Arabidopsis thaliana: one gene and its partners. The protein of the gene in region 2 interacts with the protein of the main gene of each other region in a biochemical or structural test. Each region holds a gene or a part of one and is shown on either strand. Other genes may lie near its edges.

Region 1 (10,486 bases), on a different chromosome or scaffold from region 2:
AACTGATTATCTCCCTCTTATTGATCACATAAAGCAGAAAATTTGTTCTTGGTCAGCTCGTTTTTTATCTTATACTGGAAGATTGAACCTAATCAGCTCGATTCTTTGGAGTATTTGTAATTTCTGGATGGGAGCTTTCCGTCTACCTCGGGATTGTATCAGGGAAATTGATAAGATGTGCTCTGCTTATCTATGGTCAGGAGGAGAGCTAAATACATCAAAAGCTAAGATCGCATGGGCGTTTGTGTGTAAACCGAAGGAAGAGGGGGGTCTAGGTTTAAGATCTCTAAAGGAAGCTAACGATGTTTGTTGTTTAAAGTTAATCTGGCGCATTATATCTCATGCTGACTCATTGTGGGTCAAGTGGATACAAAGCTCTCTCCTTAAGAAAGTTTTTTTTTGGGCGGTAAGGGAAAATACAAGTCTCGGCTCATGGATGTGGAGAAAGATCCTTAAGTTTCGTGACATAGCGAGGACTCTTTGTAAAGTGGAAATAAACAATGGTGCCCAGACTTCTTTTTGGTATGATGATTGGAGTGATTTAGGAAGATTGATTGAAAGTGCAGGGGATCGAGGAGCCATTGATCTGGGGATAAATAAGCACGCAACTGTGGTAGAAGCTTGGGGTAACCGGAGAAGAAGAAGACACCGCGCTAACTTCTTAAACAGAGTGGAGGAGCGACTTGTTCTGTCCTGGAACTCCCGAAACCAAGCCGAGGACTGTGCACTTTGGAAAGGGAAAGAGAATAGGTTTCGAAGCATCTTCTCTACCAAGGATACTTGGAATCATATTCGCACAGTTTCAAATAAGGTGGCTTGGTATAAAGGGGTTTGGTTTGCTCAAGCCATTCCTAAACACGCTTTTTGCATGTGGTTAGCCGTTCACAATAGGCTCTCTACGGGAGACAGGATGACACTTTGGAACATGGGGGTGGATGCGACTTGTATCCTATGTAACAATGCGCTTGAATCTCGGGACCATCTACAACACTTGTTTTTCCACGGACTGGCAAACCATCATCAACAACGTCTCACGCAACTGGCCGGATCGCATTGCAGGTTTCCTAGTCCGTTGCATTTTGCAGGTGATGATTTACACTCTATGGCGAGAGCGAAACGAGCGCAAACATGGAGCTTCTCCGAATTCTTCAAGTCGGCTTATCAGTTGGATAGATAAGCACATTCGAAATCATTTGATGGCCATAAAACAGAATGGTGATAGAAAATTTGATAGAGGGTTTCAAGTTTGGCTTCAGAGAGAGATAACTTACGCTCTGTTTTCCAGATTATATTCTTTAAACTAACGTTAGCACTTGTTGTAACAACATTGGCCTCCTTTTTTGAGTTTAATTTAACATAAAATTCAAAAAAAAAAAAGAAAGAATGACCGTTTACTTAATCACTTAAGTATGCGAACCGAGATCATTGTTTAATAGAAATACCACTAGGTTTAGAAGTTTGACGTAAGCTTATATAAGTAGAAAAATATTAGTGGCCTTGTATCCAACCAAACTAATATTTGGTCATCGTATATAAGACCAAAATTGACATTTTTTTTTTATAATCTCTTTGACATCTTGTAGACGTAATTAAACACATAATATGTTGTCATAGAAAAAAATGTTGTCATATAAGCTAATCTTTGCATTTGATCCAAACTCTCTTTGGAATAAGATATATTTCTGAAATAATTGGTTTGGTGTCACAGAGAGAAAAAAATCCTACCCTATAACATAGTCAGGCCACACAAACTATTGCTGGTCTCCTCCTCCATTATTGGTTTACCGACTTTACTCTAGTGCTCCACTCAGCCACTGATGAAAGACATAAACACAATACTTATCAGGATGTTAACTATAATTTTTTTTTTTTGTTTTTTTGAATATAGATGTTAACTATAACCTATAACTCTCTCTATATTTTTTTTTTTTTTAGTTTATATTCTGTATCAGATTGACCTTTTTAAGTTATTTATCCAATCGTATTGATTATTAGTATTGTAGCGAGTGGTTTAGCAACACGAGATAAGCCCAACCAGGCTAGGCAGTATATACTATTTAAAGTAAAGTTCTCATGTCGTAGAAGCAAACAAGCATGAAATTTCCAATAATAAAAGTTAAGAAAACCTTGGACAGATTTCAGTGTGTATTCGACCGATGTCATTAATGGGAGTACCGGAGATGAGAGTATCAATGAGTACTATTTTAGTATAGTTTAATTAGTTAAATAGTGCATGTCAGAACATCTGGAATCAAACACGGATTGACGTCGAGCGTTTCTAAGATTCTCAACGATAAATTAAAACTTTTGGCCAATTACTATTAAATTTTGAAACTGAAATGTTTAGAATATCTATGAATTGAACCCAAAAAATAATTAAGTCAACTAAAATTGAATCCGACAAATGCTGTTTTTTGTTTTGTTTGGAATTATTACTTATTAAGGAAATAAAAATGATAGAATTTGTCTGAGTTGATCATTAGAATTCGAATCGAAAAAGACCTTGCCAAAAAGAGAAAGCGAAAATGGTTTAAGAAAACGAAAGACTTCCACTTTTGTCCTTTTTTTTTAACATCTACTTTTGTCATAGCAAATTATCTGTAAATAAGATAGGGTTTATGCTTATTGCTACAATGAGCCTAATCCTATGATGTGTATTGCAATTTGCAACCATGCGAGTTTAATTATTTGTTTACTGCTATAGTGATCATTTTATGATGTGTTTTTATTAATTACAAAACAGAGCATCAAAAATCAAAAGAACATATCGCATAATCGAACTATGCTAATACCTCTCCTCAATCTTTGTTGTTGTTATATTCAAGTAGCTTATTCTTTTGTTTTATTTTACGATTAGATTTCTCTAGAATTTAATTTATATTATTTAATCATACTTGATCAAGGTTTGTAGCTTAATCAATATCGTTATCGTGTCATCCTGCAGATTCAAATGATCAAATCTGATAATCTACTTATATGTATTATATATATTAGATACCAACAACGAACAAAATCATATTTCTATAACATTTGTTTGGTTAAATATATTTAAAGATTTGTAACAGTTGTTCGGGTTCAAAACTATCACTTTGTAGTTGTAGGATGAGGAAAAGTCGTGATATGATCATCTACTAAAATCATGTGTTTTTTAAAGAACATGATTTTCATTGGATAGTTTAATAAATGTTAAAAAAATACTAAGTGTCAAAGAAGAGATTTGAACCATATGTAGAATACTTGATTCGAATTTTCCTGACGAATAATCTAATATCCTTTTCTCAAAAGAAAAAAATGTTTGTTAACTTGGACACGATATTATTATCCAACTTCCTTTCTAGATATTCATTTTTAAATTACCTATATATTTTTATTTTCTCAAAATATACTAAAAATTGGATAGAGCTATTAAATAAAAAAGATAGAATTTAGAGAGAAATAGCAACATAATGAATTATAATATAAATATTTTGTAAAGAAATAACAAACTTTATAGTTAGTTTGCCTAATATAGAAAAAAGATTACAGTTATTTACCCATTTGTTTGTGTGTAAAAAAAGGAGTAAAATAAACAGAGAAAAGAGCTTCTTGTTTTTACTTGTGAACGTTATTGACTTTTCGGCCTCTCTCTCTTCTCTATACAAATATATGGATCTTCATTTCTTCGTATAGTGTAAGCAGTGACGCATCCATTTATCATCATCTCCTTATAAATCTCGAATCTGCCACAGAGAGAGCGTGTGACAAAATGAGTTCATAAGATTCCGTTATCGTCTTCCTGATTCCTCCAAATCTCCGGCGAATTTGCACTCTTTACCTCTCTTTGACTCCGTGAGGTTTTGTTTTCTCCTTATCAATCGAATTCCATTTCGTGCTCGTTACGTGATTTTTGTAGATTTTTTTTATGGGGATGGAAACTTGTTTATTATCTATAGATGATGATTTTGTTTTCTCCATGAGAATCTATGCTTTTAAACTTTTTTTTTTTTGTTTTTTGCCTTCGGAGCTAACTTTTGGTGCTTGTCTCTGTCTCTGTTTTCTCTCCACTAAAAAGATAAAAAGCTTTTTGCCATCTTTTTTTTTTTCTCAATAATCTATCACATCGTTTTTTTTCTTTGTTTTTTTCTCCATTTGTCTTCATTGAGTTCATAGCCACATAATTATTGATTTCTTTTTCTTTTAGTGTTTCTGTTACTGATGCGTTTCATTATTTATACTTCTCACTTGCAGATTCGAGGATTGTTAGTTTCTTGTGATGTGTAGTCTTTGAAGCAGGGGATTTTTATTGTATTGAGGAAGAAGATGGGGTTTGAGCCGTTGGATTGGTATTGCAAGCCGGTGCCGAATGGTGTGTGGACTAAAACTGTGGATTATGCGTTTGGTGCATACACGCCTTGTGCTATTGACTCTTTTGTGCTTGGTATCTCTCATCTGGTTCTGTTGATTCTGTGTCTTTATCGCTTGTGGCTCATCACGAAGGATCACAAAGTGGATAAGTTCTGCTTGAGGTCTAAATGGTTTAGCTATTTTCTGGCTCTTTTGGCTGCTTATGCTACTGCGGAGCCTTTGTTTAGATTGGTCATGAGGATCTCTGTTTTGGATTTGGATGGAGCTGGGTTTCCTCCCTATGAGGTGTGTTATCACTTTGCTGTTTTTGTTGATGTTGTTCTCCTTCTGTATGTTTTTTCCTGAGAGATGCTGTTGTTTTGTGCTTTATTTGGCAGGCGTTTATGTTGGTCCTTGAGGCTTTTGCTTGGGGTTCTGCTTTGGTCATGACTGTTGTGGAAACTAAAACGTATATCCATGAACTCCGTTGGTATGTCAGATTCGCTGTCATTTATGCTCTTGTGGGAGACATGGTGTTGTTAAATCTTGTTCTCTCTGTTAAGGAGTACTATGGCAGGTTGGTAAATTTGCAGTCTGTATGGTTTATGCAATTTTGTTTCCCTGGTCTGGCACGATGAACTTATATGCGTCATTTTTTTTTTGTTTTTTGCAGTTTTAAACTGTATCTTTACATAAGCGAGGTGGCAGTTCAGGTTTGCACTTTTAGACTCCTTTTTGCATTCTCCAAACTACTCTTTACCATGTGCTGTATCTAAGTCAGACTGTAGATGATACAACTTTGTTTTGATAATGACGTTGAGGATGGTTTTTGGATCCAGGTTGCATTTGGAACCCTCTTGTTTGTGTATTTCCCTAATTTGGACCCTTACCCTGGTTACACACCAGTTGGGACTGAAAATTCCGAGGATTACGAGTATGAAGAGCTTCCTGGAGGAGAAAATATATGTCCTGAGAGGCATGCAAATTTATTTGACAGTATGTTACTCTACACTTCTCATTCCCTACTTTGTTTTTATAGGTGCATTTCTATTTTAATTGTGAGAATTGCCACCGCATCTTTTATCACTTTTCTGCACTTACTACCTATCTAAGTTGGTTATTTATGCAGAGCTTAAATATTTCCCTGGAATTGTAAATTTTCTTATGGAGTGCTAATACGTAGTAGGTCATTAAAATTGTTTCCGCAGAGAGTAGTCTATAGTCTCTTCAAAATTTTTTTTTGACTTATCCTCCCGTTCTCCCTAGAAATGAACTTATGATTTGTGACTGTGCCGAGGTTTTTGCTTAGTGATCATCACTTCGACTAAGCTGCAACATTTTATATAGTATATTCGTCAACATTTGTTAAACTTTGACTATTATGTACCTTCTTACCCTTGTTTTTCAACCCACAGGTATCTTCTTCTCATGGTTGAACCCATTGATGACTCTGGGATCAAAACGACCTCTCACCGAGAAGGATGTATGGCATCTGGACACTTGGGATAAAACTGAAACTCTTATGAGGAGGTATATTTTAATAAATAACAACTGTTCTCATACTGTCTATGACTGGCATGGTTGCGTGACATATTTTTATCTCATTTTTTAGCTTCCAGAAGTCCTGGGATAAGGAACTAGAAAAGCCCAAACCGTGGCTTTTGAGAGCACTGAACAACAGCCTTGGGGGAAGGTAAAGAGAAACTTCTTCACAGTCATGTGTTTTCATCTTTTTGGGCTTTGACATGATGTGTGATTTGTAAAAGGAAGCATTTGGTTGTAATAATAAATGCATTATGAATAACTAGAAGCTGAGAAATCTGTTATGGCTGTGACTTCAAGTATGTTTTGATGCGTGTCGAGTTGAATAAGAGATGTGTTACTTTTCTGGTTATAATCTGCCATAGATACTTTTCATCCTTATGGACTGTCTGTTTCTGCATTTTGTAGGTTTTGGTGGGGTGGCTTTTGGAAGGTACTTTTGTTCTCTTTATTGTGTTTTATTCTTTATTCTGAAACAGTCTTTTCCTTGTCTATTTGATAATATTGATGGCTTCTGAGGTCTTAGTTTTCCTAAATGGTGTGTTTTGTAACTGTTTAATCTTGACATTTCAATCTAAATTGTATCATAGATTGGGAATGACTGTTCACAGTTCGTGGGGCCTCTTCTACTGAATGAGCTCTTAAAGGTTTGTTCCTTTACTTCTTTTTACCCCGTGCACATTGTGCTTGAACCTATTTAACACAATGCTTTGTAATTTTTCCATTCACATGGATCTTTGAGATGGATTCATATTCCTACTGGCTCGAATAAGTGTTTAAACGTTCTTGATAGATTCAAAATCCTATCATCCTTTGAATATTATGTTCTGACGATATCTCACAATGTCTCCTTTAACTTTCCGCAGTCAATGCAACTTAATGAACCAGCGTGGATAGGTTACATCTATGCAATCTCAATCTTTGTTGGAGTGGTATGCAACAAATTCTCTTTTTCTTCGCTGCCTTTATTATTCTCTTGCATGGACTGCAAAGGATATGAAACAAAAACTCTACTTTCCTTGGATTCTTTTCTTTCTTGCTAGGACTTCATGGTATTTTTGGTCTAGAGTAGATGCTACGAATTGTAGGACCAGTTTAATTTTCTTAAGCTGAAAGTAATCTCTGTGCGATTCGATTGTATTAGAAATAGCCTGATTCTACTCTTAGAGTTAGTTTTTTTTGTTTGTTAATACATTTGCATGTTGAAAAGGTTTTGTTTAATGTAGGTCAAGGTGACACTTGACCAATGGACTCCTTGATCGCTTGATGTTGATGTTGACATTTTCAGGTATTGGGGGTTTTATGTGAAGCTCAGTATTTCCAAAATGTGATGCGTGTTGGTTACCGGCTTAGGTCTGCACTGGTAAGAAAAAGTTTCACATGAATTATCTTTTGCTACTTAGTTTTTCTTTTTGCTCTGCTTCTCATGTTTTGATGCAATACCTGTACTGTTATGTCTGTTGAAAGCTATAGCAGATGCTTATAGATTGCTTCATTCTGCTGATGAATTCTCCCTTAATAGATTGCTGCTGTGTTCCGAAAATCTTTGAGGCTAACTAATGAGGGGCGGAAGAAGTTTCAAACAGGAAAAATAACAAACTTAATGACTACTGATGCTGAGTCGCTGCAGGTGTATCTTTGTTACCTTTACTCTCTTTAGCCTTGTCTGTTTCTTGATATAAATTTACACTGCATAGTTGTATATCTACCTCAAAATATGAGTCTTAGATGCAATTTACCAAGATAGTCTTTTTCCTGCAACTGACGACTGAATCTGAAGCTTATTCTAAGATTCTAGAAATCTAAGAGTTGTGATTACATTTTCAACACCCTTGTTCTTTTGTTGCCGTTGTAGGATTTGATTTTCCTTTATTAGCCAATAAACCTTTAATTCGCTTGATTTGTAGAAAAAAGTTACCTTTGAACAGTGCTTTTATCTAAGCTCTTGCTTGAAATCAAAGTGTTTATCTAGCTGATAGCTGTTCTTTTTCCTAACGTTTCTCTTGTGTGTGACAGCAAATCTGCCAATCACTTCATACCATGTGGTCGGCGCCATTTCGTATAATTGTAGCACTGGTTCTCCTCTATCAACAATTGGGTGTTGCCTCGATCATTGGTGCATTGTTTCTTGTCCTTATGTTCCCCATACAGGTTCGTATATCTTAATAATTCCCCATTCTCTTTGCGCTGTCGGTTTTTTTTTTCTTTTGAGTGCTTATTTCTCATTTGCTTTTCACACCAATGAAAATGATTCATTTTCTTCGTTTATTTTGTTGAAACAGACTGTTATTATAAGCAAAACGCAGAAGTTAACAAAAGAAGGGTTGCAGCGTACTGACAAGAGAATTGGCCTAATGAATGAGGTTTTAGCGGCAATGGATACAGTGAAGTACGATACTTTGGAAGACTGAAACCTAATATTTATTTTCTTGCATAGTTGGAAGTTTGTGGCAGTGTTTAACTATCTCACTAAACCAAAATACTGTAGGTGTTACGCTTGGGAAAACAGTTTTCAGTCCAAGGTTCAAACTGTACGTGATGATGAATTATCTTGGTTCCGGAAAGCACAACTCCTGTCAGCGGTATGGCTTGAGTGCAGTGACTGTTATATTAATTGATTTTATAGACCGTATGCATGATGTGCATAGTTGTCTTGGTCATTTACTTGTCGCTCTCCTAACGGTATGATTGTATACAAGGACAAATCCAAGTTGCTCGTCTTTTTAAATGCCTTTGACCATTTTGAGAATGGTATCCATCAATATGTGTTTAGGCATTTTCTGTACTATTTTCTAGTTCATTGAACATTGATTCAGTTGTTTCGGGCATGTGTAGCAGCATTCATGCATGATCTTTAACATATATTGCATTAATGTTTCTGACTCATTCTTGGTCTTCTATTTGCTCTGCAGTTCAATATGTTCATACTAAACAGCATTCCTGTCCTCGTGACTGTTGTTTCATTTGGTGTGTTCTCATTGCTTGGAGGAGATCTGACACCTGCAAGAGCGTTTACGTCACTCTCTCTATTTTCTGTGCTTCGCTTCCCTTTATTCATGCTTCCAAACATTATAACTCAGGTGATTTCCTTAAAATGTTTCTTGAACCATGTTTTCATGTCCAGTACTGAATAATGTGGCATCAGTAGTAATGATTGCTTCTGATTGCTCTTTTAATTTTCCATCTCTACCTCTTTTTCTAGACCAGTCGTTGTCATAATGTTTTTGCAGATGCTGACCAGGCTTTACTTTTGTAGATGGTAAATGCTAATGTATCCTTAAACCGTTTGGAGGAGGTACTGTCAACCGAAGAGAGAGTTCTCTTACCGAATCCTCCCATTGAACCTGGACAGCCAGCTATCTCAATAAGAAATGGATACTTCTCCTGGGATTCAAAGGTCTTCTTTGTCTATTTTATCACATGTTCTTACTTCTATTAGTTTCTATCATTACATATTGTCAATGAAGTACAAAAAGTGAGCTAGAAGTATACATATGCAGGCGGATAGGCCAACATTGTCAAACATCAACCTGGACATACCTCTTGGCAGCCTAGTTGCGGTAGTTGGCAGCACAGGAGAAGGAAAAACCTCCCTGATATCTGCTATGCTTGGGGAACTTCCTGCAAGATCTGATGCGACTGTTACTCTTAGAGGATCAGTCGCTTATGTTCCACAAGTTTCATGGATCTTTAACGCAACAGTAAGTTTATATATGCTACTCAGTTTATAGTATGGTTCTCAATGCGAAAATGTCAAATTCTCCTCTTGGATTGTTACTTATTTTGTATGTATTTTATGTTTTGTATATGATGATGTGTGCTTTTAGATACGTCCACATGCTGATGGTTGTAATTAACATCGCGTAGGTACGTGACAATATATTGTTTGGGGCTCCTTTTGACCAAGAAAAATATGAAAGGGTGATTGATGTGACAGCACTCCAGCATGACCTTGAGTTACTGCCTGTAAGTTTTGTGGAGAGTTACTTAGCCATGTGCATTGAAAATTTCCTGAGGTGAAACGAACCTTGAAATCTGTTGGTGCGATGTAAATCGAAAAAACTGAATTGCATCAGTTCTGTTGATAGCATGTACTTCTATTTTCTAGTGCTCAGGTATCTAAGCTTGTTTCCTCTTCTTTCTCTTGATTGATAGGGAGGTGACCTCACGGAGATCGGAGAAAGGGGTGTTAACATCAGTGGGGGACAAAAGCAGAGGGTTTCTATGGCTAGGGCCGTTTACTCAAATTCAGACGTGTGCATCTTAGATGACCCATTGAGTGCCCTTGATGCGCATGTTGGTCAGCAGGTAAACTAGCCATAGGCTCTTTTGGATAGAACAATACTTTGTTTTTCTTTCAATTTTGCAAATCGTGAACTCTATAACGTTTTGTTTTTCAATCTGCATGGATATTCTACTTCTTGTTTGCCACGGATCTCTGCCATATACTACTTTTAAGCAAACATTGTTATCTGATGTTCGAAACTGGCTGTTATATATAGGTTTTTGAAAAATGCATAAAAAGGGAACTAGGGCAGACAACGAGAGTACTTGTTACAAATCAGCTCCACTTCCTATCACAAGTGGATAAAATCCTACTTGTCCATGAGGGAACAGTAAA
Region 2 (10,989 bases):
CCCTTATTCTTATATCTTAACAACAGGAATCACAAGCCGGATCAGACTCTGCCTCAACTAAGCCACCACCAGCTTTAGCAATGAGGTTATATGACAATGTGCTTTTCTGAAGGAGATGAATCGTTAATTTCTCAAAACTCTGAAGAAATGTGCTGTTCAAGAATCCATGATACTGCAAGGATCTTGTGTATAGGATAAAGATGTTGATGGTTTTTGCAAGTCTTGTAGAAGAAGGTTTTTGAATGTATGTTGTAGCTTTAATGGGATGCTTGTGCGAAAGCTAAAGATGTAGATACGCTTTTCGACAGAGCTAAGGAGTCAGCTATAGAAAGATCTGAGCAATCATCAAAGGTATTGTCTGGAGAAACTGATTCAGCTGAGCTTCAAGAACAACAGCAAGAAGACCAGCCATATGAAGTAGTCACGTACACTGTAACTATTTGGAGGAACGGTTTCACTGTCGATGATGATCCGTTTAAGAGTTTGGATGATCCAGAAAATGCAGCTTTTCTCGAGGTTACTAATATCAATATCTTCTTGTCATTTTCAATTATGGGTCTTTCTCTGTACTTGTTTCACTTGGATAACATAATGTTCCAAGTATATGCCAGAGGATAACAAGTTTGGAGTCCCCACGACTACTCGATCCACTTCGTGTTCAAGTCAAACTCATCAAGTGTGAAGAAAATTTCAGTGTATACTGATCTCCTTCCCTCTCTCTCTAATCTTTTTCTCTTCTCTGATTAAAATGAGCTAATATTTTTAACAACAGGAGTTACAAACTCTAGCCGGATCAGAGTCTACCTCTACTGAGCCACCATTGACGACTACACAACCACCATCCATGAGCTCATTAGTGGTGGATCCTGCAGCGCCAACAACCTCGATCCAGCTTATATTAGCAGACAGCACACGCATTGTCACCCAGTTCAATACTCACCACACCATTAGAGACATTCGATGCTTCATAGACACGTCTAGACCAGATGGCTCCAAAGACTACCAATTACTCATCATGGGGTCTCCTCCTACACCACTGTCGGACTTTGACCAAACCATCGAGAAGGCTGGCATCGCCAACTCTGTCCTCGTCCAAAAATTCTAGCTCTTTTCTAAGCACATTAGAGACCAATTCTATGGTTACAAAATAGCATCATAAACTTTTTATTGACTTTTCGCTAGTCTTATGTTTGACTAGCGAAATTATTATTGGTCAAACGCTGTGTAGTCGTCTTTGATCATGAAAAAAGTACAGTTTACGTACTTGTTGAGTTTTATACTTTTTATTCTCACACAAGTTTCTCTCCTTAACTATAGAAGTTAATTGATCAAATTAGGACGTTGATGGCGTCATAATGAAATGGGATTGGTGAATTAAACGAAAATTGACGACTTACTATTTGACGACCATGTAAAACGTTTACTTTTCAGGGTTGTTTTGACTTTTTTGACTCACCTGCCATTCTGTCAAACCGTGCGTGTCCATGTTTATTGATTTTTCCTTCTGTTCTTTCCACCTATGTGTGTGTGTCTCTGTGATGTTTATAAAAAAAAACAATAAATTTTTTTAGAAAATATCTGGATGTTCCAGGTTTGTTATTCGATTCAGAGCAAAACGATTAAGTGTTTAAATGGATTTAGATTTACAGTAAATATCCAGATAGAGAGAAAGAAGGATAAGGAGAGAAGAAAACGATTACTTTCTTCTATTCTTGTTCATTACAACCTTATAATCTCAACATTTGTTTTTTTTCTTTTGTTCTCTCTTTCTTACATATTTCTTTTGGATTTCGTTGTCTTTTTTTTTTCTCTCTTTTCTTCTCCTCTCTCTCGCTCGATTTCAATTTGGGCGAGAAAGGAGCGGTCTTTTGTCTTTCCTGGGTTTATCAGCTAGATCCCTCTTGCCTAAAGTTTGTAACTTTCTTAGGGTTTTCTTCTGATTTCCTCTCTCTCGGGGTTAATTCTGCTCAAAAATGTAAGCCCTTCTCCTTTTATTTCGTTTGTTAGATTTTGTTTTGCTTGATCTGATTCTGTTATGTAATTTTGGGTTCAGGGTTTGATTCAGAGGCAAATCTGGTTTTGTTTAGACAATAAAGTTCGGGACTTTTTGACATACTCACAGCTGGTTTTTAGCTTTGGTTCTTATAGAGAGTAATAGTAGTGAAGGGTTTGTGCCAATAGTTAGAAATGATCAAACAGATATTTGGGAAATTACCTAGAAAGCCTTCCAAATCATTGCAGAATGACTCCAATGGTGAAGGAGGTGTTAATAATTCTTATTATGCTTCGAATTCGAGTACTACTAGTATCTCTAAACCTTCTTCAACATCTTCGAAATCATCATCAGCCTCGGGTTCGCGTGTAGCTAATGGAACTCTTGCTCCTAACTCAATGAGCTCTAATAGGAATACTAATCAAGGGAAGAAACCATTGGGAGGAGATGCTGTTGTACAAGCTGGACCGTTTCCGTCTTCTGGTGGGGTTTATGAGGCTTTGCCTAGCTTTAGAGATGTTCCTATATCGGAGAAACCGAATCTCTTTATCGGGAAGTTGAGTATGTGCTGTGTTGTTTTTGACTTTAGTGATCCGTCTAAGAACCTTAAGGAGAAAGAGATTAAGAGGCAGACATTGCTTGAGCTTGTTGATTATGTTGCATCAGTTGGTTTTAAGTTTAACGATGTTTCGATGCAAGAGTTAACGAAGATGGTAGCGGTTAATCTGTTTAGAACTTTTCCTTCTGCGAATCACGAGAGTAAAATTCTTGAAATACATGATATGGATGATGAAGAACCTTCTTTGGAGCCAGCTTGGCCTCATGTTCAAGTTGTGTATGAGATTCTTCTCAGATTCGTGGCTTCTCCCATGACTGATGCAAAGCTTGCCAAGAGATATATTGACCATTCTTTTGTCTTGAAGCTCTTAGACTTGTTTGATTCTGAAGATCAAAGAGAGAGGGAATATCTAAAAACTATTCTGCATCGGGTGTACGGGAAGTTCATGGTGCATCGACCTTACATCAGAAAGGCGATAAACAATATCTTCTACAGATTCATATCCGAGACTGAAAAGCATAATGGCATTGCGGAGTTGCTAGAGATTCTTGGAAGTATAATTAATGGTTTTGCTTTGCCTTTAAAAGAAGAGCACAAGCTCTTCCTTTTGCGAGCCTTGATTCCTCTCCACAAGCCTAAATGTTCATCAGTCTATCACCAACAGCTTTCGTATTGCATTGTTCAGTTTGTAGAAAAGGACTTCAAGCTCGCTGATACCGTTATTAGAGGTCTTTTAAAATATTGGCCTGTGACTAACAGCTCAAAGGAAGTTATGTTTCTTGGAGAGTTAGAAGAAGTCTTGGAAGCAACTCAAGCCGCTGAGTTTCAACGTTGTATGGTTCCATTATCCCGACAAATTGCTCGATGCCTCAACAGTTCACATTTCCAGGTTCGAGTCTTTGACTATCATCACAACTTCATATCTATCTCTCTTGATAAAGTCTTGTACCTATATATGAAGTTGTACTTTTTGTTTGTCAGGTTGCTGAAAGAGCATTGTTTCTATGGAACAACGATCACATAAGAAACCTGATCACTCAGAACCATAAAGTGATAATGCCTATAGTCTTCCCAGCTCTTGAGAGAAACACGCGTGGACATTGGAACCAAGCAGTTCAAAGTCTGACTATAAACGTGAGGAAAGTATTATGCGAGATTGACCAAGTTCTTTTCGACGAGTGTTTAGCCAAATTCCAAGTAGAAGAAGTGAATAAAACAGAGGTTAAAGCGAAACGGGAAAGGACATGGCAACGGTTAGAAGATTTAGCTACTTCAAAGACCGTTGTAACCAACGAGGCAGTACTGGTTCCAAGATTTGTGTCCTCAGTCAATCTTACTACAAGCAGCTCTGAGTCCACAGGGTCGTAGTAGGCTCTCGTAGGTTACTATGTACTTGTAACAAATATTTGTGGTCACTATAGAAATGGTTCTTGAGAGACGACTGTATAATTATTTTTTTAAATTATAATCTTTTGGGTCAAATTGAGAATATTTGATATTATTTTACTGAATTATAATAAACGCCGTTAAAACTCTCGTTAGTTAACGGCTGACTCTGAAGTGAAAACTGAAAAGTCGAAGGGTCTCTTTATATTTTCAGAATCAAAATCTGAAATTTATCTCTCGGTCGATCCAGTCTTCGTGAGTGACTTCGACGACGACGACGAGTCACACTACTCTTGAGCTTCTCATACTTCGTAAGTTCACTCTCCTCTTCTCTAAATTGACAAACTTTTTCTTCGTTTTCTGCTATTATTGACGACGAGACTTGATTTTGTTTTGAAATGAAATGGTTCAAGTAGCTGACTTCGACTATGTTCTTTTGGGTTTTTGTCATTGAATCTTACTTGTCTGATTTGGTCGATGTTTAATCAATTCAACACTTAAAGATTCAATTTTTGGATTGACACTTGCACATTTTTATTCAGACCCAGGTTGATTTGGGAAATAATGGATGAATCTCTGGAGCATCAAACTCAAACACATGGTAAGTAAATTTTCATAGATTTAATCTCTCTGAATACATATATATGACTTCAATATGTTTGATTGGAGTTTTTTTGTTGTCCCATATTCAATTGGATGCTTTGTTAAAGGATAAATGTCTATCAAATTATGTTGACTGCGTTATTCTTTCTAAATCATATTGTGAATCTTGGAACAAAGCATGTATACAACAAATTTGTTAGACTTGATAACTCCTTTTCTGTTTGTTAAGAATTGAGAATGACTATTGGGGTTGACTAATGCATCTTTTGTGGCTCCAGACCAAGAGAGCGAAATAGTTACTGAAGGAAGTGCCGTTGTGCATAGTGAGCCATCTCAAGAGGGTAATGTTCCTCCTAAAGTTGATAGTGAAGCTGAGGTCTTGGATGAGAAAGTCAGTAAGCAGATTATAAAGGAAGGTCACGGTTCCAAACCATCCAAGTACTCTACATGCTTTTGTAAGTACCCTTTAGCTTTCTGTTGATTGGATGTTGATTTTTCGATTGCACTTGTTGGCCTATTGCTACTGTTTATTTGAATCTTTCTATCTGACCAATTTCATATTGGCCATAGTGCACTACAGGGCATGGACCAAAAACTCGCAGCACAAATTTGAGGATACATGGCATGAGCAGCAACCTATTGAATTGGTTCTTGGAAAAGGTATGTGGCTGTCGAATATGTACTCTACACCTCCATTTCGTTAGATGAATCGTCATTGGTAAATTTGATGAGTTAGCTTGTGTATTATATGAACCCAATGAGATGGATATTTGGGAGGAAAAAAGATTGAGTTTTGTATTTTTTTTGCTTCAATGCTGATTAGCCCATTTTAACGTCACTATACAATTTTTTTTATAAAAAAGATTGTGCACTAAGAGTGAAATGTTGTCTGTGAGACAGAGAAAAAAGAACTAGCCGGTTTAGCCATCGGTGTTGCTAGCATGAAGTCTGGTGAACGTGCGCTTGTGCATGTTGGCTGGGAATTAGCTTATGGGAAAGAAGGAAACTTTTCTTTTCCGAATGTTCCACCTATGGCAGACTTGTTATATGAGGTGGAAGTTATTGGGTTTGATGAAACAAAGGAGGTAAGTTATTTCCTATACCATCATCTTGTTTCCTTACCAAGACGACTCCACATCCAAGCTTTATCCCAACCTCCTTGCTTACCTCTCTGACTTAGATGATGTATTGAACAGGGAAAAGCTCGCAGTGATATGACTGTAGAGGAAAGGATTGGTGCAGCAGACAGAAGAAAAATGGATGGGAATTCTCTTTTTAAGGAGGAGAAACTGGAGGAAGCCATGCAACAGTATGAAATGGTTATGCATCTCTCTCTATCTCTATCTCTCTTTCCAACAATTACGGTCAAAGTTTAGGTTTTCAGGCATACTTAGTGAGTCTGCTCGAGGCTCTTGTGTCTTCTTTCGGCTTTTGATTAGTCATGGTTTTGCTGTTTCAGGCCATAGCATACATGGGGGACGATTTTATGTTTCAGCTGTATGGGAAGTACCAGGATATGGCTTTAGCAGTTAAAAACCCATGCCATCTTAACATAGCAGCTTGCCTCATCAAACTAAAACGATACGATGAAGCAATTGGTCACTGCAACATTGTAAGACTCATCAAACCATTCATTTGAAGAAAATCATTAAAGTTCATACTCGGTTTCTCGAAATCTAATCAAACTCAAAACCTTATCAGGTGTTGACAGAAGAAGAGAAAAACCCAAAAGCACTGTTCAGAAGAGGGAAAGCAAAGGCAGAGCTAGGACAGATGGACTCAGCACGTGATGATTTCCGAAAGGCACAAAAGTATGCTCCTGACGACAAGGCGATTAGAAGAGAGCTACGAGCACTTGCAGAGCAAGAGAAAGCCTTGTACCAAAAGCAGAAAGAAATGTACAAAGGAATATTCAAAGGGAAAGATGAAGGTGGTGCTAAGTCAAAGAGCCTTTTTTGGTTGATAGTGTTATGGCAATGGTTTGTTTCCCTTTTCTCCCGTATCTTTCGACGCCACAGAGTTAAAGCAGATTAATGTATGAAGAAGGGTAACAATTCAACTCTAAAAGACCAACGTGAAAGATCTACCCCCATTTCTTATTAGTGAGAATTTTGAAAAATATTTTATATAAGAAAAAAAAATAGTCTCTATTGTTTTCGATTATAAAGTAACTTTATATTTTGATCCAAAAAAATAAATTTTTAACAAAAAACATACAAAATTCGAACGTAAAATCTACTTCCTTCAACAGAAATGGCGGTCTTCATAGTTTTTGTCTTTGACCAAAGACTTTCAAATTCCAGCTGCTAGTTGCATTAAATGATCTTAGTATTATTAATTAATTAAGAAACTTCTCAACAATTAACAAACACTAATCAGTAATCATCATTCTCTTTAGTTGAAAAAAATAGTCAACGTTTGATTAAGTCAACCTTTTTCGTCTTTGAATCCATCTTCTTCCCCACAGAGCAACGACGAAACAAAAAAAACAGAGACCCTTCCTCTGGGGAATCTAAGGAAGCTTCAAAATGAAGCTAAAGATTTCTCTAATCGCTCCGATTCTTCTTCTCTTCTCATTCTTCTTCGCCGTGGAATCTAAGTGCAGGACTAGCTGTCCTTTAGCTCTAGCTTCGTACTATCTCGAGAACGGAACAACACTCTCCGTCATCAACCAAAACCTCAATTCTTCAATCGCGCCTTACGATCAAATCAATTTCGATCCAATCCTCAGGTACAACAGTAACATTAAAGACAAAGATAGAATCCAGATGGGCTCTAGGGTTCTTGTACCTTTCCCTTGCGAATGTCAACCTGGTGATTTCCTAGGGCACAATTTCAGCTACAGTGTTCGACAGGAAGATACTTACGAAAGAGTCGCGATTAGTAATTACGCGAATCTCACGACGATGGAGTCGTTACAGGCGAGGAATCCTTTTCCGGCGACTAACATACCTCTCTCTGCGACGCTTAATGTATTGGTGAATTGTTCTTGTGGTGATGAGAGTGTTTCGAAAGATTTTGGTTTGTTTGTTACGTATCCGCTTCGTCCTGAAGACAGTCTCAGTTCTATTGCGAGATCTTCCGGTGTATCGGCGGATATTCTGCAGAGATATAATCCCGGTGTTAATTTTAACTCCGGGAATGGAATCGTTTATGTGCCTGGAAGAGGTACAAAGATTGATCTTTGATGATTTGTGACACAAATTGTTATAAATGTAGTAATGATTGTTGAAGTTTATGTACATGTTCCTGTGTTTTTTGCAGATCCAAATGGTGCATTTCCACCATTCAAATCAAGGTTGTTTTTGTTGTTGTTAAGATTGTATCTTTGTTCATTTTGATATCTATTTACTGATGTATTTCTACTTCTCTTATGTTTTTTGTAGTAAACAAGGTTGGTTCTTTTCTCCATTTTTGAGCTTTTGATGATTATGCACGAAGCAAGAGGAGACATGGAAGAGTATGTTTTTGATATTTTTTTGTATTAGCAGATGGTGTTGGTGCTGGAGTTATTGCTGGTATAGTTATAGGAGTGATTGTGGCTTTGTTGTTGATCTTGTTTATCGTATATTATGCTTACCGGAAGAATAAGTCGAAGGGTGATTCGTTTTCTTCTTCTATTCCGTTGTCTACTAAGGCTGATCATGGTAATTTCGTGATGATCATATACAAGCAGTTTTTGTCTCTTTTGTTAGCTGGGAGTTGCTTATTATGTTTATATGAAATCTGCTTTTAGCTTCTTCTACTAGTCTCCAAAGTGGAGGTTTGGGTGGTGCCGGAGTGTCTCCTGGCATTGCTGCCATAAGCGTGGACAAATCTGTTGAGTTTTCGTTGGAGGAACTAGCAAAGGCTACTGATAATTTCAATTTGTCTTTTAAGATTGGGCAAGGTGGTTTTGGGGCTGTTTACTATGCAGAGCTGAGAGGAGAAGTAAGCAGATATCTTTTTATATCTTTTTGTTTGAAGCTACTACACATGGAACATTTAAATTATTCGGTTCTTGTATAGAAAGCTGCGATTAAGAAGATGGACATGGAGGCATCGAAACAGTTCTTGGCGGAACTAAAAGTCTTAACGCGTGTACATCATGTCAACCTGGTAAACCCCTTTTGTGTTCTCTCAAGATAATATCTGAGATCAGATGAAGATCAAGTCTTAGCCAAATTTTAACGAATTTGTTTTTTCTTGCAGGTTCGCCTGATTGGATATTGTGTTGAGGGATCACTTTTCTTGGTGTATGAATATGTTGAGAATGGTAACCTTGGACAACATTTACATGGGTCAGGTACGCAATATAAAGACCTCCAAAAGTGAATCATTTTTCGAGAAAGTTGTAAACTAAAAGAGTTTATGTGAAACTAGGACGAGAACCATTACCGTGGACTAAGAGAGTGCAGATTGCACTAGACTCAGCTAGAGGTTTAGAATATATCCACGAGCACACGGTTCCAGTTTATGTCCATAGGGACATTAAATCTGCCAATATTTTGATAGACCAGAAATTCCGAGCAAAGGTACATTCTCGATTTCTCTTTTGTCAATCAAAAGTGAAAAATACTGAAAAGGTTAGATTTTTCCTTTGTCACCGCTCTGAGTCGTTTACGTGTTACAGGTAGCAGATTTCGGGTTAACAAAACTGACAGAAGTTGGAGGTTCAGCAACTCGGGGTGCAATGGGTACATTTGGTTACATGGCACCAGAGTAAAGAATTTGATCTCGTTTACACTTATATACTACTTTAGAGACTACACTATAGTGATGGTGTATATATGTATGTATGCAGGACTGTTTATGGAGAAGTGTCTGCAAAAGTAGATGTATATGCATTTGGAGTTGTCCTTTACGAATTGATTTCTGCGAAAGGTGCGGTTGTCAAAATGACAGAAGCCGTTGGTGAATTTAGAGGCCTTGTTGGTGTGGTTAGTATTATTGTTTCTTCGTAACATTTAGTCTTTCTGATTTAAAGGCATGTATGTGGATCACTTAACAATATGCTTTGTTTATTTATTATTCAGTTCGAAGAATCATTCAAGGAAACCGACAAAGAAGAAGCACTACGCAAGATTATAGACCCGAGGCTCGGTGATAGTTACCCGTTTGATTCGGTATACAAGGTAATATCTCTTCTTGTTCCCTATTCTATTCATCATTGATCATTCTAAAAGAGGGTGTCCAATCCGTTTTTTGGTCCGAAAAACCGATTAAAAGTGCGATTTTTAAAAACCGGTATTCACTGAACAATGTGCTATTCGATTAGCTTAAAGTGTCGAAAAATCAAACCGAATACCGGATTGCACATAGCTAATTTTAATAACGGGGTAAGCCAATTTGGTGTTTTATGTGTTGTGGTATAGATGGCGGAATTAGGGAAAGCATGTACACAAGAGAATGCGCAGCTACGTCCGAGTATGAGATACATTGTGGTTGCTTTATCCACTCTCTTTTCGTCTACCGGAAATTGGGATGTTGGAAACTTCCAAAACGAAGATTTAGTCAGTCTTATGTCCGGCCGGTAGACTCGTTTTCCGGTTTGCTGTTGTTATATAGAAATGATTGTTTTTTGGTATGCTCACGTATATTTTGTCTGTCTATACGAACTTTACATGTCACAACTCACAAGTTGACTTTTATATGATTTTCTATAACGCTCTATATGTCAATTATTCAACGTCTCCGATATCAGCATCTCACGTCAAAGATAATAATGAAATGCATTAAAATTCTCATAAATAAATTTTTTGAAATCGAGTTTGCCGACAAAAAAATCAAAACATAAAAATATAACTTTTTGTGATGGATACTCTCACGAAGCTTAGAACAAGTCTTCCATAACACCAAAGAAATTCGAATGATTTTGTCACATGGATTCCCCAATACATAAAATCTATATTCCAGCTTAGAACACTAAGTATGTTTCTTATTTCACCTAGCTAGATTTTCTTTATTAGAAATAGAGTAATCGAATATTCTTTTACCATAAACCAATATATTTCATTTTTTGTTTTTTTCTTCTGTCAACAACATACAGATACGGCTACATATATCTATGATTTTTTTTCGTTTGTCCATTATTTGTAACGGAATAATTATTTAAAACACACAAAAAGTTACCTTAAACTGACTAATATTAAATCAAAACTTTTTCATTCCAAAAGTCAGATCTCAAACCTTTTTTTTTAACATAATGTGTCCTCTAAACTTTCAAATCAGGGAATAAATAAATACATTAGAAAACGTTAAACCAATATAAAATACAGCCGTTATAATATGAACATAAATAACATGCTAATACGGCGAGACCTATAAGGCTAATAAACCATTATTGCTTCTCTAAAGAAACTGAAAAGGAACCCAGTAACGGACGATGTCCTAAACAACAAAACATTCAATTAAAATACAAATTCCTTAATTAACACTATTACTTTATTTAACACAAATTAATCTCTTT
Region 3 (10,732 bases), on a different chromosome or scaffold from region 2:
CTATGTGTACTCTTGCTTATAACACGTCATTACAAGCTATTCAATCGAAATGTCTTGAGGGTGATGAAACTGACGAAATTCGACTGAATAGAGAATGAAAATATCTTGAGGAAGAGCTTCGGTCATAATAGCATCATGTTAGTTGACATTACAAACATAAATAGCTACCTTGAGAAAACTCTTCTTCATATCATCACGTACGCTGTGAGTGACAATTGATATTTGTGTTTAGTAAGTGTATGAGAAACAAAATTTGTATGTGTGGCATGTTATCGCAGAAAAACTCGGTGATGTGAATCTTTAATCTTGTGAAAAAGTAGAAACGATTGCAGTTATATCAAGTTACAAGTAACATTAGCCATACGTATGCGTCTATATCAATGTTGGTTCGAGTCACTTCGTTTTGCTCCTCAGCTTTCCATGAAATAAAAGAATTCCCAAAATAATTACATAAACTATAAACGGTTCTCTTGGACTTTTGATAATTTGTCTACTTTGTACAACGTTTAGCATCTTGGCCAAAAAATACATAAATAACGTTAACTATTGCGTTGTGAATTAATGGATATTTTTTGAAATTATGTCGAAATTTATAATGTGAAAGTGGTTCAATATATAAATCAATTAAGGAAAAGAGAAAACATAATTCAGTTATCCAATTATTGTATTTTGAAAAGAGTAGTATTTATTAATTGCAAGGGAAGTTTCTTGGGTCCACGTAAGCGAGTGAGAAAGGAATAATGACAAGTTACAAACCTCGGTTTCTGCGAAAGAAACACCTCTCCCAATAAGAAGACTTTGACTTTCGACTTAAATGTTTATTTTCTTTTTCAAAGTGTAAACAGTAAAATCATCATTATCTACTTATTTTTAAGCTCATTAGTAAAATTAATTATAATTAACAACACAAGACGTGACGGTAATCTTGTGTGTGGTCCATGTTTACACATTTTAGGAGAGACAAAACTTCTATGCATTGTCCAAAACAATTTGTATTGAATTGTCTAATCATTGACATTTCAGCTTTAGTTTTTTTCTGTTTCTCCCCTCTTTTTCACTAGCGATTTATTTTGTCACCATTTTAACGGTGGTGTGCTTATAGGGTCTCTAATTATTGAATAACCATTCCATTTCTGTGACTTCTACTGCTAATCTCTTTTATTCTCCTTACCTTTCCAAGTTGTTCTCTAGATTTCTAAAATTCATAGAAAATCTCTATAGTCTTTGCACACACAAAAAAAAAAAAAAAAACTTTATAGGCTAGCTAAAGAGATTGTTTTTATGTATATTTATACTCATAATTATCACATCCTGTACATGTATACACATTTGTTTATACTCCTTAGTCACTAATACAATCGCCTATGGCACATAAGTATATTATACACACATATGTATAACAATTAATAAAAGCGGTCGGTAAATCAAGCAATGTTGGTTGGTTGGTTGAACAACGTACTCACTTCATTAACGGTCGACGTGGTGAATATAATGTGAGCAAGTAAGTAAGTACATATGTATTGTTTTTTGTTACTCTTAAGATAGACAAAACATCTAGCGCTAAATCTCTCTGTCCTTTAAATTTTTGCTTCCCTTCTTAAATAAATATTGCAGACAAATCCTCTTTACGCAATCCAAAGGCCAAAGGCTTTTTGTTAGTTTCTAGATTGTCACATTATGCAATGGATGAACTTGGGGACATGCTTCAAACATGCCCAAAAATTTTAGCTGAATTATTTACCTACTTGCTTAACTTCACTTTAAAATGCATTATCCGATTCATTACATCTACATTTGTTCCCTTCTTAAATACACGAACTAACAATTCGATGTGGATATCTTTGGTCCTTACAAACATAGCTCTTAAATTCTTATTGCATAAAAAGTGGAGTATGTTTTGATACCAAGATAAATTGTAGTATTAAAGTCTTGTGATAATGTTATAACCCACTAAACATGTAAATATTTGTTTAGTAGCCATATTTTATGTATAAGTTTTTCAAAGTAATTTTATAATCTGAAAATGACATTTAAAACCTATGATGTGTTCTTTTTTTTTTTTCGGGGGCCAAAATGTGGTCAAGTGAATGTATCTAATTAATGAAATCGATTTAACACATTAAAGAAAATGACACCACTTTATATAAAGCTTAAACGAATTCACTAGAGGAATGCGTTTGATACTCTATATCAAGAAAACAATTTCGTCTTGCCGTCTATAGTTTATTGTTCTCCTTAAGTTGAAATTGAAGAGAACGAATCGAAAGCAGAAGAGAGATCATGCAACTGGTCGGATCCAAAAAGGCAGATTCCTACCCTTATGGATAACGTTTTTTTCTCCCTTTTTTGACATTCTAAAGACTCGTAGAGATTTAACAAAGAGCAAATATGACTTCATGTGTTACAATTGTCAAAAGACGAATCTTCTTTTCTTTTTCTATACCCGTCGAACTACAAAGTCTAGGCGTGACGAGTTTTATTATAAAGTAATTCGTTTTCTTTTCCATTGCGGTGAAAAGTAGTTCATTCAAACCGGTAAGAAATGTTTGACCAAATTTGGTCAACTATATAATGCCTTAACATTAACTATCGTTAGACTGGTAAATAGATGTTCCCAAGTTCCGAAGAGTTGATAATGATAATTATAAAATAGATTAGTTTTAGATTAATCCGTTTGTTGTACAAATTGTATGAAAAGTCACCTAAATTTTTAATTTATAAGTCAGATTAACGAAATTTTAAAAATTAAAGAACGAAAAAAAGGACAGCTTCGAGGGAATATGTACAGCTAAAACAGACTAACACGTGGCCCTAATCTCGACCGTAGAAAACGTTCAAAAGTAATCGAACGCCGCTGGTTTGTTACTACTTCTACCACTAAACGTCGCCGATTTCATCGGCTTCTTGACGACGGAAGAAGGAATCTCCGGCGGAGTAAGCGTACGAATGAGCGCAAAGTTTAGACCTTTGAAAAAAGGATGCACTTTAACCTCCGCCGCACCTCGCCGTGACCCAAGTCTTTTAGTCGGATCTTTGTTAAGCAACCCGGAAATCAAATTCCGCGCATGAAGCTCAAACATAGTCGCCGGCGAATCAGTCGGGAAACTCAACTGTCTTTTCACAATGTTACGGAGAATGACGTCATTAGTCGGCGCAACGAACGGAGTCTTGCCATATATCATCTCGTAGAGAAACACTCCAAAGGCCCACCAGTCAACGGCATTACCATGTGATCCACCTGAAGCAACTTCTGGTGCCACGTATTCATGCGTACCAACGAACGAACCGGACCGGGCAGTAACCGGTTCAGCAACAAAGAGACGGGTTGGTTCTAAAGTCTGAACCTTTTTAGACCGCAAGACTCGTTGGAAAAGTCTAGCGAGACGAGTGAATCGTCGCGGTGAACGGAGTTGTTGATTCTCCGGCGAAGACGAGGAAGATTCAACGGCTGCGATTGAGTCGGAGCATAGAGAGAGGTCAAAGTCAGAGAGCATAATGTGACCGTCGGATCTAACTAAGATATTTTCAGGCTTCAGATCTCTGTAGATGATACCCAACATGTGTAGATATTCTAACGCCACTAGAACTTCGGCGGCATAAAATCTGTAACCAAAAACAAAATAAATACTCATTAGCTAATAAAATCATAATTATTGACGTTTATAAATTGTGATGGGCTGAAAAAGACTCTTTGATAACAATTCAAAGAACTGGAAAAGACCGACATGATAAGAACAGGTCTGTTCTTGCAGAACAAGATAACAAATGTGAACAGAGTCAATGCATGTAACTATAAAATATATATATACATTGATGATGATGAATCTTTTTTCACAATTTTTTTTTTTTGAAAAAAAATCTGACTTTGTCCATAATATTAAATTATTCAATAAAATTTGATATTTTTTACCTGGCGGAAGAGAGGGAGAATCGCCGGTGAGGTTGTCTATGACGGAGAGAGTGTAAATCACCACCGGAGCAATATTCCATAACGATGCAAGAGAAATGTGAGGCTTCAAACTCAGCGTAAAGAGTCGGCAAAAATGGATGGTCAAGCATTTTCAAAATCGTTTTCTCCATCTCTGCTCTATGCATCTTCTTCTTCAACGCAAGAGCTTCTTTATCCACAACTTTCATCGCAAAATACGAGCTCCGGCTCTCTTCTTCGTCTCCGGCTAGACGGCATAAGTAAACTGTTCCGATGTCGCCGGCGCCGATACGACGCATGAGGCGAAAATCTCGGAAGGTTAGGCCTTGTTTTTTTCGTCTTCGGATCTCTGCGTAAGCGAAATCTGAGGATCGGTGAGGTTTGAGAGAAAGGAAGCTTTCTTCTTCGGGGATAGTTGACGGCGGCGCGTCGAATGATAACCGGCTGAAACTGCTGCAACTCTCTGTTCCGCTGCTTATCGGTGAGTTTGTTGTTCCTAAACTCATCTCACCGTCTGATTCTCGTAACATCGCCGGGAAAATCGAAGTTAAATCAAGAAATGGCTAAGAGGATAATTCAAGAAAAAAAATTGGAATCTGAAAACAGAAGACTAATGACAGAGATGAAACAGGACAGGGTGTCTTTGAATGGACATTAGTTTCTGATCTGAAGAGATGAAGATTTAGGGTTTATGATTGAGAAGAAGAAGAAGATTTTCAGAAGTTTGAGAGAGATGGAAGAAGGAGAAGTGTTGGAGTTTTAGAGAGAGGCGAGACAGAGAGAGTTGGTGAGGGGTATTTATGCGTGTAAGGTTATAACAGTAAAAAGACGTTACAGAGACCATTTTTTTTTTTTCTTACTGTGGTTAATTATGTAAGATTGATTGCACTTTTCAACGCGTGAGAGAGGTAAACAGAAAAGTGAAAGAGAGAAAAAGAGGACTTGATGACGTAAGATATATGACACGTGTGAGACGTTGTCACGTGCCTGAAAGTGTAGCAGTAGCTTCTCTTTTTCCCCATTATTTTTTCTTCTTATTTCCTCTAGGCATATTATAGGGGTGCAAAATTACAGATATGGATTACAATTTCGAGACTCTTGTGTCTTTTTTTGGAGAAATATTGGACTAGTGATTCATCTGTGTTAAAAAAGTGATGACTAAATACAGATTTCATGAGGAAAATTTTGAAGATTAATACTCCATAGGTTATGAATACTAACTAATCTCAACATTATATATGGATTAGTTTCTGAAACTTAAACAGTTTTAGTTTGTTGTTTCTGGCTAATTCAAGATGATTGGTAATGTTATATCGTCTTGGTACAAAATGTACTAAAAGATATGTAATTATTCAATGAGCCCGTAAAAAAGGTTATAGGAAGAGATAGTGAAACTATTTTTTTTGTTTAATGATAACATCAATTTTCTAAAGGTTAATCAAAGAGTACTTTTAGACAAAAACTAGTACAGTATGTTCTTTCATTTGTCTTTCTCGTGAGTGAGAGTTGAACTAGAGAACTCATGGTCACGGATATATAATCTTTGAAAACCCCAAAAAAACTAGCTATTGACCAAAACACACTTAATTACTATCAATTCGTACCACTATGTTTGCCATTAAAAAAGTGTACCAGTTTGTGCGGACCCTATATATTTATACCGACTATGAACATACCTAATGATCATTAATAAAGATGATACAAATGCTGGAAGGGACCCAACCTATATACTAGGATGTTGTTGGCTTTCTGTGGCTTCATGTTACGTTACGTTCCAAGCTTTGGATTTGAATCCAAGATATTGTTTTTATGTTAGGTTAGGTTTTGGTTGATTCAATTATTGTCAATTGGAGATCTCCTCTCGCTAATTTTTGTTTTGTTTTAGCTCCACCTCCTATAATGTTTGGGCTACTATAACATATTGTATTATATAATTATACGGGAATGAACCTACTTGTCCTACTCTCATATCATTGTGGATTGACCACTGTGACAACTTTTTTCATCTCCGATTTATCTTTTCCATGAGTTGCTCTAATCCAACCTCTGTTCGCGGTTGGAAAACTGTTTTGTTTATACAGTAAAAGTTTGAGACGTATTCATATAATGTACTCTAGAATACTTATACTAGCCTCAATCTGTGAAATGGCTAGAATAAACGAATCACAACAGTTAGAAGAAGTGTGGTTAACACTTGCAAATGTTGAGTTCAAAATGAATGGAAAATAGAGGGGAAACGTAGCCTAAGTTTCATGCACAATATATAGCTTTAACTTTGTTTCATAAGCCATAAAAAGGACAGACATAAATATGCCCACCGCTTATGATTCATTTGGCGCATATATATCTGCATGGCCCTCTCCTTAGCTAACCTTAGAACACGTTTTTCAAAATTAATGTGTCCCTAGGTTAAGATAAGTGTCCCTAGGTTTAGTTTTAAATTAAAGAATCTGAATCAAACATTAACATATTTGACTGTGACTATATTCAGTTATTCTCTTAAGTATTTTGGAAACTTAAGAGAAAGAAGTTTGGAGAAAAAAGAAGGAAATAAGGAGAAAAATGCATGAGATGTTTGGTGGAAGAGGGACAAAGTCGTAATTGTGCCAGCTAAATTGGCAAAGAGACAAAACAGAACTGACCTCTGGACTTATGGTTAAATAAACCCAGAGAGATATTCCCTTCCTCGTTGGTTCCTAAAGACAATAACTGTTCCCGTTACTTCTGTATCTTCTCAAACTCTCTCTTAGCCAAGTGTTTGGTAACTAGTTTAACTATATCCCAATCTTGTACCAATTACTAAAACTACATCGGAATGACTTACTTCTGTGTCTTGTACGTACTATATATTTCGTGGGGTCCATGTTTTGTACGGACTAGTTCCCACCTTACTCCAATTATTATTTCTCCCTCGAATCTTTTTTTTAACAATAAGCTAAATGATGATTCAATCCGTTTTAGTTTTATAATCGTAACGATTAGACAGAGGATGATGTGTATTGGTCACAAAAACCTTAACTTGTGATTAAAAAAACAGAATATTAAAGATAGAATCAATGAATCATATAGAGAGTAAGAAAGATATGAAGAGATTAACTAAAACAGTGTAATAAATAAAAGCATAGGATGTGAGGAGGACAGGCGGCAACATTTAGGAACTGTGGGTCCTTTTTTCTGACGCGACAGCTTTTGGGTCCAAACATAAATTGGAAAACTAATTAATGAATTTTGTTTGGTTTATACTTCAAAGACAAATGCAAATAACTCCATGAAAATGTAAATGTTCATTGATTTTTTTTTTTATATAAACGACACCAATTATAAGAAATCTCTGTTTTAAGTCGGCCTGGCTATGTTCTAATGCTTGTTTCCATGTGATGCTATATGATCCAATTTGATGTCTTCCATATAATTTTACTCTAGAAGTTGGCTGAATCATGCAGTAAGATTTACGTGGCTCCACTCCACTCATCAAAGATGAATTGATATTTGTTTTCAACATTAGCTGTTGTTATGGTTAGGATTTGTTTTGTGAATGAATCCTTCATGAGTCTTTCATGGTTAGGGGTTATTATTATTGCTAGAATTGGTTCGGTCAACCTGTTTTAGAACTCTTAACATTTACACCAAAAAAAACTTGTTTTACAACATTTGACTTTTTATAAGATACGTCCAACTGATCGAACTTTTGATGAGCATTTCTTCTTTAGCCAAAATTGATGTTTTTTTTTACAATAGCCAAAATTGATGCTAAAAGAAGGAAAATACGCTTAGTTAGATTTTCACAACATATCTATTGGAAATACAATTTGTGTGGAAGCAATTGAAATTGGAATATACAATAAGGCTAGAAGCAAGGCCCCACGAATTAGTTAAAGAGAGTTGGGTGCCACATAAAAAGGTGCAGCAGAAAGTGTAACAATTATTAATATTTTATATAAGATTTTCTTTTTATAAGAACTACTCCATCTCGCTACACTTTTAGGCTTTGAATGGATGCTGATTTTCGATTTAGTTTTTGGATTTAGATTTTAGTTTCTAGATTTTAGATTTTAGTTTTAGATTTTTGTTAATATATTTTTGTTTTTAAAACTCAAAAAAATTGGTTTTTAGTTTTTGAGAAAAATAACGTTGATGGAGTAAAAACTAGATTCCCTAAATTTTAGGAAAACTAAAAAACTAAAATCATGAATGAAAAACTACAACAAAATAGTTTTTCTAAATTGTATGGAAATCAAAATTTTAAAATCTTGATTGGTACGAAAATAAGTATTTGAAAAACAAAATCCAAAAACTCTTACAAAATCTACAAAACATTCAAGGCCTTAATAAATAGTTAAATACGTTTCTCATGAATATATGAATATGCATGCAGAAACGAAAATACATATTTATTAAACGTATGTATTTTCATAATATCTGCATACTTAAATAGTTACATGCATAGACGCTTGATTAGATATGTCATATACACAAACACGTATAGATGTGTTCATGTATATCGTAAAATAACATAAGTAATATATACACATGCATACACACTTAAGTGTTATCTACTATACTCATATAAACAAAAAATGAAAAAAAAAACATGGCAAGTGAGATTGCTTGTGGTTGTGGCCTGTGGGCATGTCAAACCTTTGAGAATGAGAATGATTAATAGAATAATAGATAAATACATACACTACATATGTATATATGTCTACCCATTTTGTAGTGCAGAATAGAAGAAAATATAGGTAGACTTTTCTTTATAAAAAGTGATCCATATCATGAAACTTTTCTGTTTTGTTTTTGTTTAAAAGTCTCGACCCATATCACGAAACTTGTTTGATATCAATTGGGAAACTAACCAAATAATTTCTTAATATAAAGAAGGTCCACATCATCGGCTAAAAATGGTCACATGGCATGTGTGACCATTGTCATATTTCTGGACTTTGGCAAGAGTTAGACGAGTAGGGTTTCAAATACCATGATAATGATCTAATAATTAATTAAGACAGTGACTCTCTTTTGTTTAGTCTTCACGTTTCTCTTTTTACAAGGGCTTCAAATACAATATATATATGTATATATATATACACTATTAACCAAGAACTTTAATGATAAGTTAATTGTTTCTATAAATTTGATTGGTAAATATCGTTTTATATCAAAGTAATTATGATAAAGAAATCATGGTTGTTTATACTCCTAATAGTTAATCTCCTAATTTATTCAAACGGATGATTATTCTGCCGATTATAATTAGAAATATTCATCTCACAAATTAACTCCAACGAATAGTGTGTGTAAATCAAAAGACATGCTTATTGTATATGTATGTGCCTATCCTTTTTTCTTGCCAAAATGAGATCTCTTTGAGATTTGGTTTTGATTTTTATGTTGAAAACAAGATGTATAAAAACTTTAATCACTAATAAAATTAGTAAAGTTAAGTAAAGGTAAATCCCAACATGTGAGATCGTGTGGACCACATGCATGGCATATACTACTAATTTTAGGCACCCTGGATTTGGTCTACACGAAATTCAGACCAAATGATATTGGAATCTATTTCAAAAAAATAAAACTATCTACTTAGAAAAAAGAAAAAAAACATTCTAAACTAGTTTTTTTGGGTACTTCTCTCTTTAAAACCTCTCCCTTCTCTCTAAAAGTAGATCTAGATCTCAGTTTGCGTTGGCTGGCTCTGGTGGCTTCCATAGCGCCGGAGCTATGCCTCTCTTGCTCTGCTGTAAAGTTTATGTTGCTTTTGCTTAGTTTATGTGCGTTGTGGTGTAGGGATTTTTGAATGGTTCTTAGATGGCTTATGTTGTTTTTGTGGGTTGGTCTCTGTTGCTAGTAGCGCCTCTTGATCCGGTCATGTTTTAACCTTATTCTCGTTTAGCCTTTTACCAGGCTTGGTGGTTGCTTTCGTTTCTGTCCGGTTCGATCTCCTCCCGTTTTTGTTTTTCGGTGTGGTCCGGATTGATTTGGTTCTCTCCTTGTCTTTACTCTAAAGATCTGATCGAGATCTCATCTGTTCATTGGCTGGTTTTCTTCGAGGCGCTAAACAATCATATTCTTTGATTCGCCGCTTCCGGGAGTGTAGGTGTGACTTGTCGTCTTTGGCCTAGTTCTTCTCGCCGGTATGGATTCCTTGGAACTCTTCTATGTAAGGTAGTCTTCATCGTAATAGGTGGCACCGCTGTCCATTTGGTTGGAAGTTCCTTGTCCCCTACGGAGTGGCTTGTTGTAAAGCTCTGCCTTTCCTTTGTCTGGTAATGTGGTTGACGAGATGTTGTGTTTAAAATTTTGGTTGTTTTGGTCTGCTTCTTTGTTTTAGTTTCGCAACTTTGCTCTGTTTGTAAGGTTTGTTTTGCCTTGTTATTTCCCTTTCCTTTGGGCTTTGCTTCCGAGATTATCCTTTTAATCGTCGGCTTAGTTTTCTGGGGTTACTTGTTAACCGCCGGCTTTGTATTTCACCCTTGTATTTCACCGGAATCTCTATAATAAACTTTCAGACGATAAAAAAAAAAAAAAAAAAAAAAAAACAACCCTATTATTGACAAGTGACAACATGGAAATCTTTCAACCATGTTAAAAGAACATAGTGGTAAACCCTATAACGGTTTTAATCCTTTAATATGCTGTCTCTAGGTGATCTTTCAAGATTCATGCAAGTATGAATAAGTAAGCATTTTCCATAAATTATGCGATGTGCTTCTCAATGTTCTCATTGAATCTTTGGCGCATCATGTAGATTTTACATTTAATATATTCTATCAAGCTTTTGTAATTATGGTTAAAACTGAATCA

The links.
Region 1: the proteins of TWD1 (region 2) and ABCC1 form a complex in vitro, tested with the Arabidopsis thaliana proteins (one study listed by BioGRID).
Region 3: the proteins of TWD1 (region 2) and PID form a complex in vitro, tested with the Arabidopsis thaliana proteins (one study listed by BioGRID).

What each region holds. Positions count from the first base shown.
Region 1 is NC_003070.9:10,723,840-10,734,325, forward strand, and holds the start of ABCC1 (multidrug resistance-associated protein 1), read left to right. Parts: upstream 1-3,477; 5' UTR 3,478-3,833; exon of another isoform or gene 3,834-4,227; 5' UTR 4,228-4,299; coding exon 4,300-4,629; intron 4,630-4,721; coding exon 4,722-4,900; intron 4,901-4,996; coding exon 4,997-5,036; intron 5,037-5,162; coding exon 5,163-5,319; intron 5,320-5,738; coding exon 5,739-5,853; intron 5,854-5,935; coding exon 5,936-6,016; intron 6,017-6,273; coding exon 6,274-6,298; intron 6,299-6,455; coding exon 6,456-6,512; intron 6,513-6,731; coding exon 6,732-6,797; intron 6,798-7,153; coding exon 7,154-7,228; intron 7,229-7,387; coding exon 7,388-7,495; intron 7,496-7,881; coding exon 7,882-8,016; intron 8,017-8,147; coding exon 8,148-8,254; intron 8,255-8,353; coding exon 8,354-8,447; intron 8,448-8,777; coding exon 8,778-8,945; intron 8,946-9,121; coding exon 9,122-9,262; intron 9,263-9,365; coding exon 9,366-9,566; intron 9,567-9,732; coding exon 9,733-9,831; intron 9,832-10,020; and 3 more. UniProt on the Arabidopsis thaliana protein: Pump for glutathione S-conjugates. Mediates the transport of S-(2,4-dinitrophenyl)-glutathione (DNP-GS), GSSG, cyanidin 3-glucoside-GS (C3G-GS) and metolachlor-GS (MOC-GS).
Region 2 is NC_003074.8:7,614,611-7,625,599, reverse strand, and holds TWD1 (FKBP-type peptidyl-prolyl cis-trans isomerase family protein), read left to right. Parts: upstream 1-4,122; 5' UTR 4,123-4,249; intron 4,250-4,480; 5' UTR 4,481-4,502; coding exon 4,503-4,539; intron 4,540-4,819; coding exon 4,820-4,996; intron 4,997-5,111; coding exon 5,112-5,201; intron 5,202-5,441; coding exon 5,442-5,626; intron 5,627-5,737; coding exon 5,738-5,860; intron 5,861-6,000; coding exon 6,001-6,153; intron 6,154-6,242; coding exon 6,243-6,575; 3' UTR 6,576-6,749; downstream 6,750-10,989. Other genes in the region: AT3G21660 (UBX domain-containing protein), read left to right, coding at 27-85, 309-516, 612-695, 773-1,105; AT3G21650 (Protein phosphatase 2A regulatory B subunit family protein), read left to right, coding at 2,188-3,441, 3,534-3,920; CERK1 (chitin elicitor receptor kinase 1), read left to right, coding at 7,070-7,709, 7,806-7,839, 7,928-7,935, 8,033-8,188, 8,278-8,471, 8,550-8,639, 8,733-8,826, 8,904-9,055 and 4 more. UniProt on the Arabidopsis thaliana protein: PPIases accelerate the folding of proteins. It catalyzes the cis-trans isomerization of proline imidic peptide bonds in oligopeptides.
Region 3 is NC_003071.7:14,587,100-14,597,831, forward strand, and holds PID (Protein kinase superfamily protein), read right to left. Parts: upstream 5,042-10,732; 5' UTR 4,459-5,041; coding exon 3,911-4,458; intron 3,604-3,910; coding exon 2,835-3,603; 3' UTR 2,637-2,834; downstream 1-2,636. Other genes in the region: AT2G34655 (uncharacterized protein), read left to right, coding at 9,737-9,805. UniProt on the Arabidopsis thaliana protein: Serine/threonine-protein kinase involved in the regulation of auxin signaling. Acts as a positive regulator of cellular auxin efflux and regulates organ development by enhancing polar auxin transport.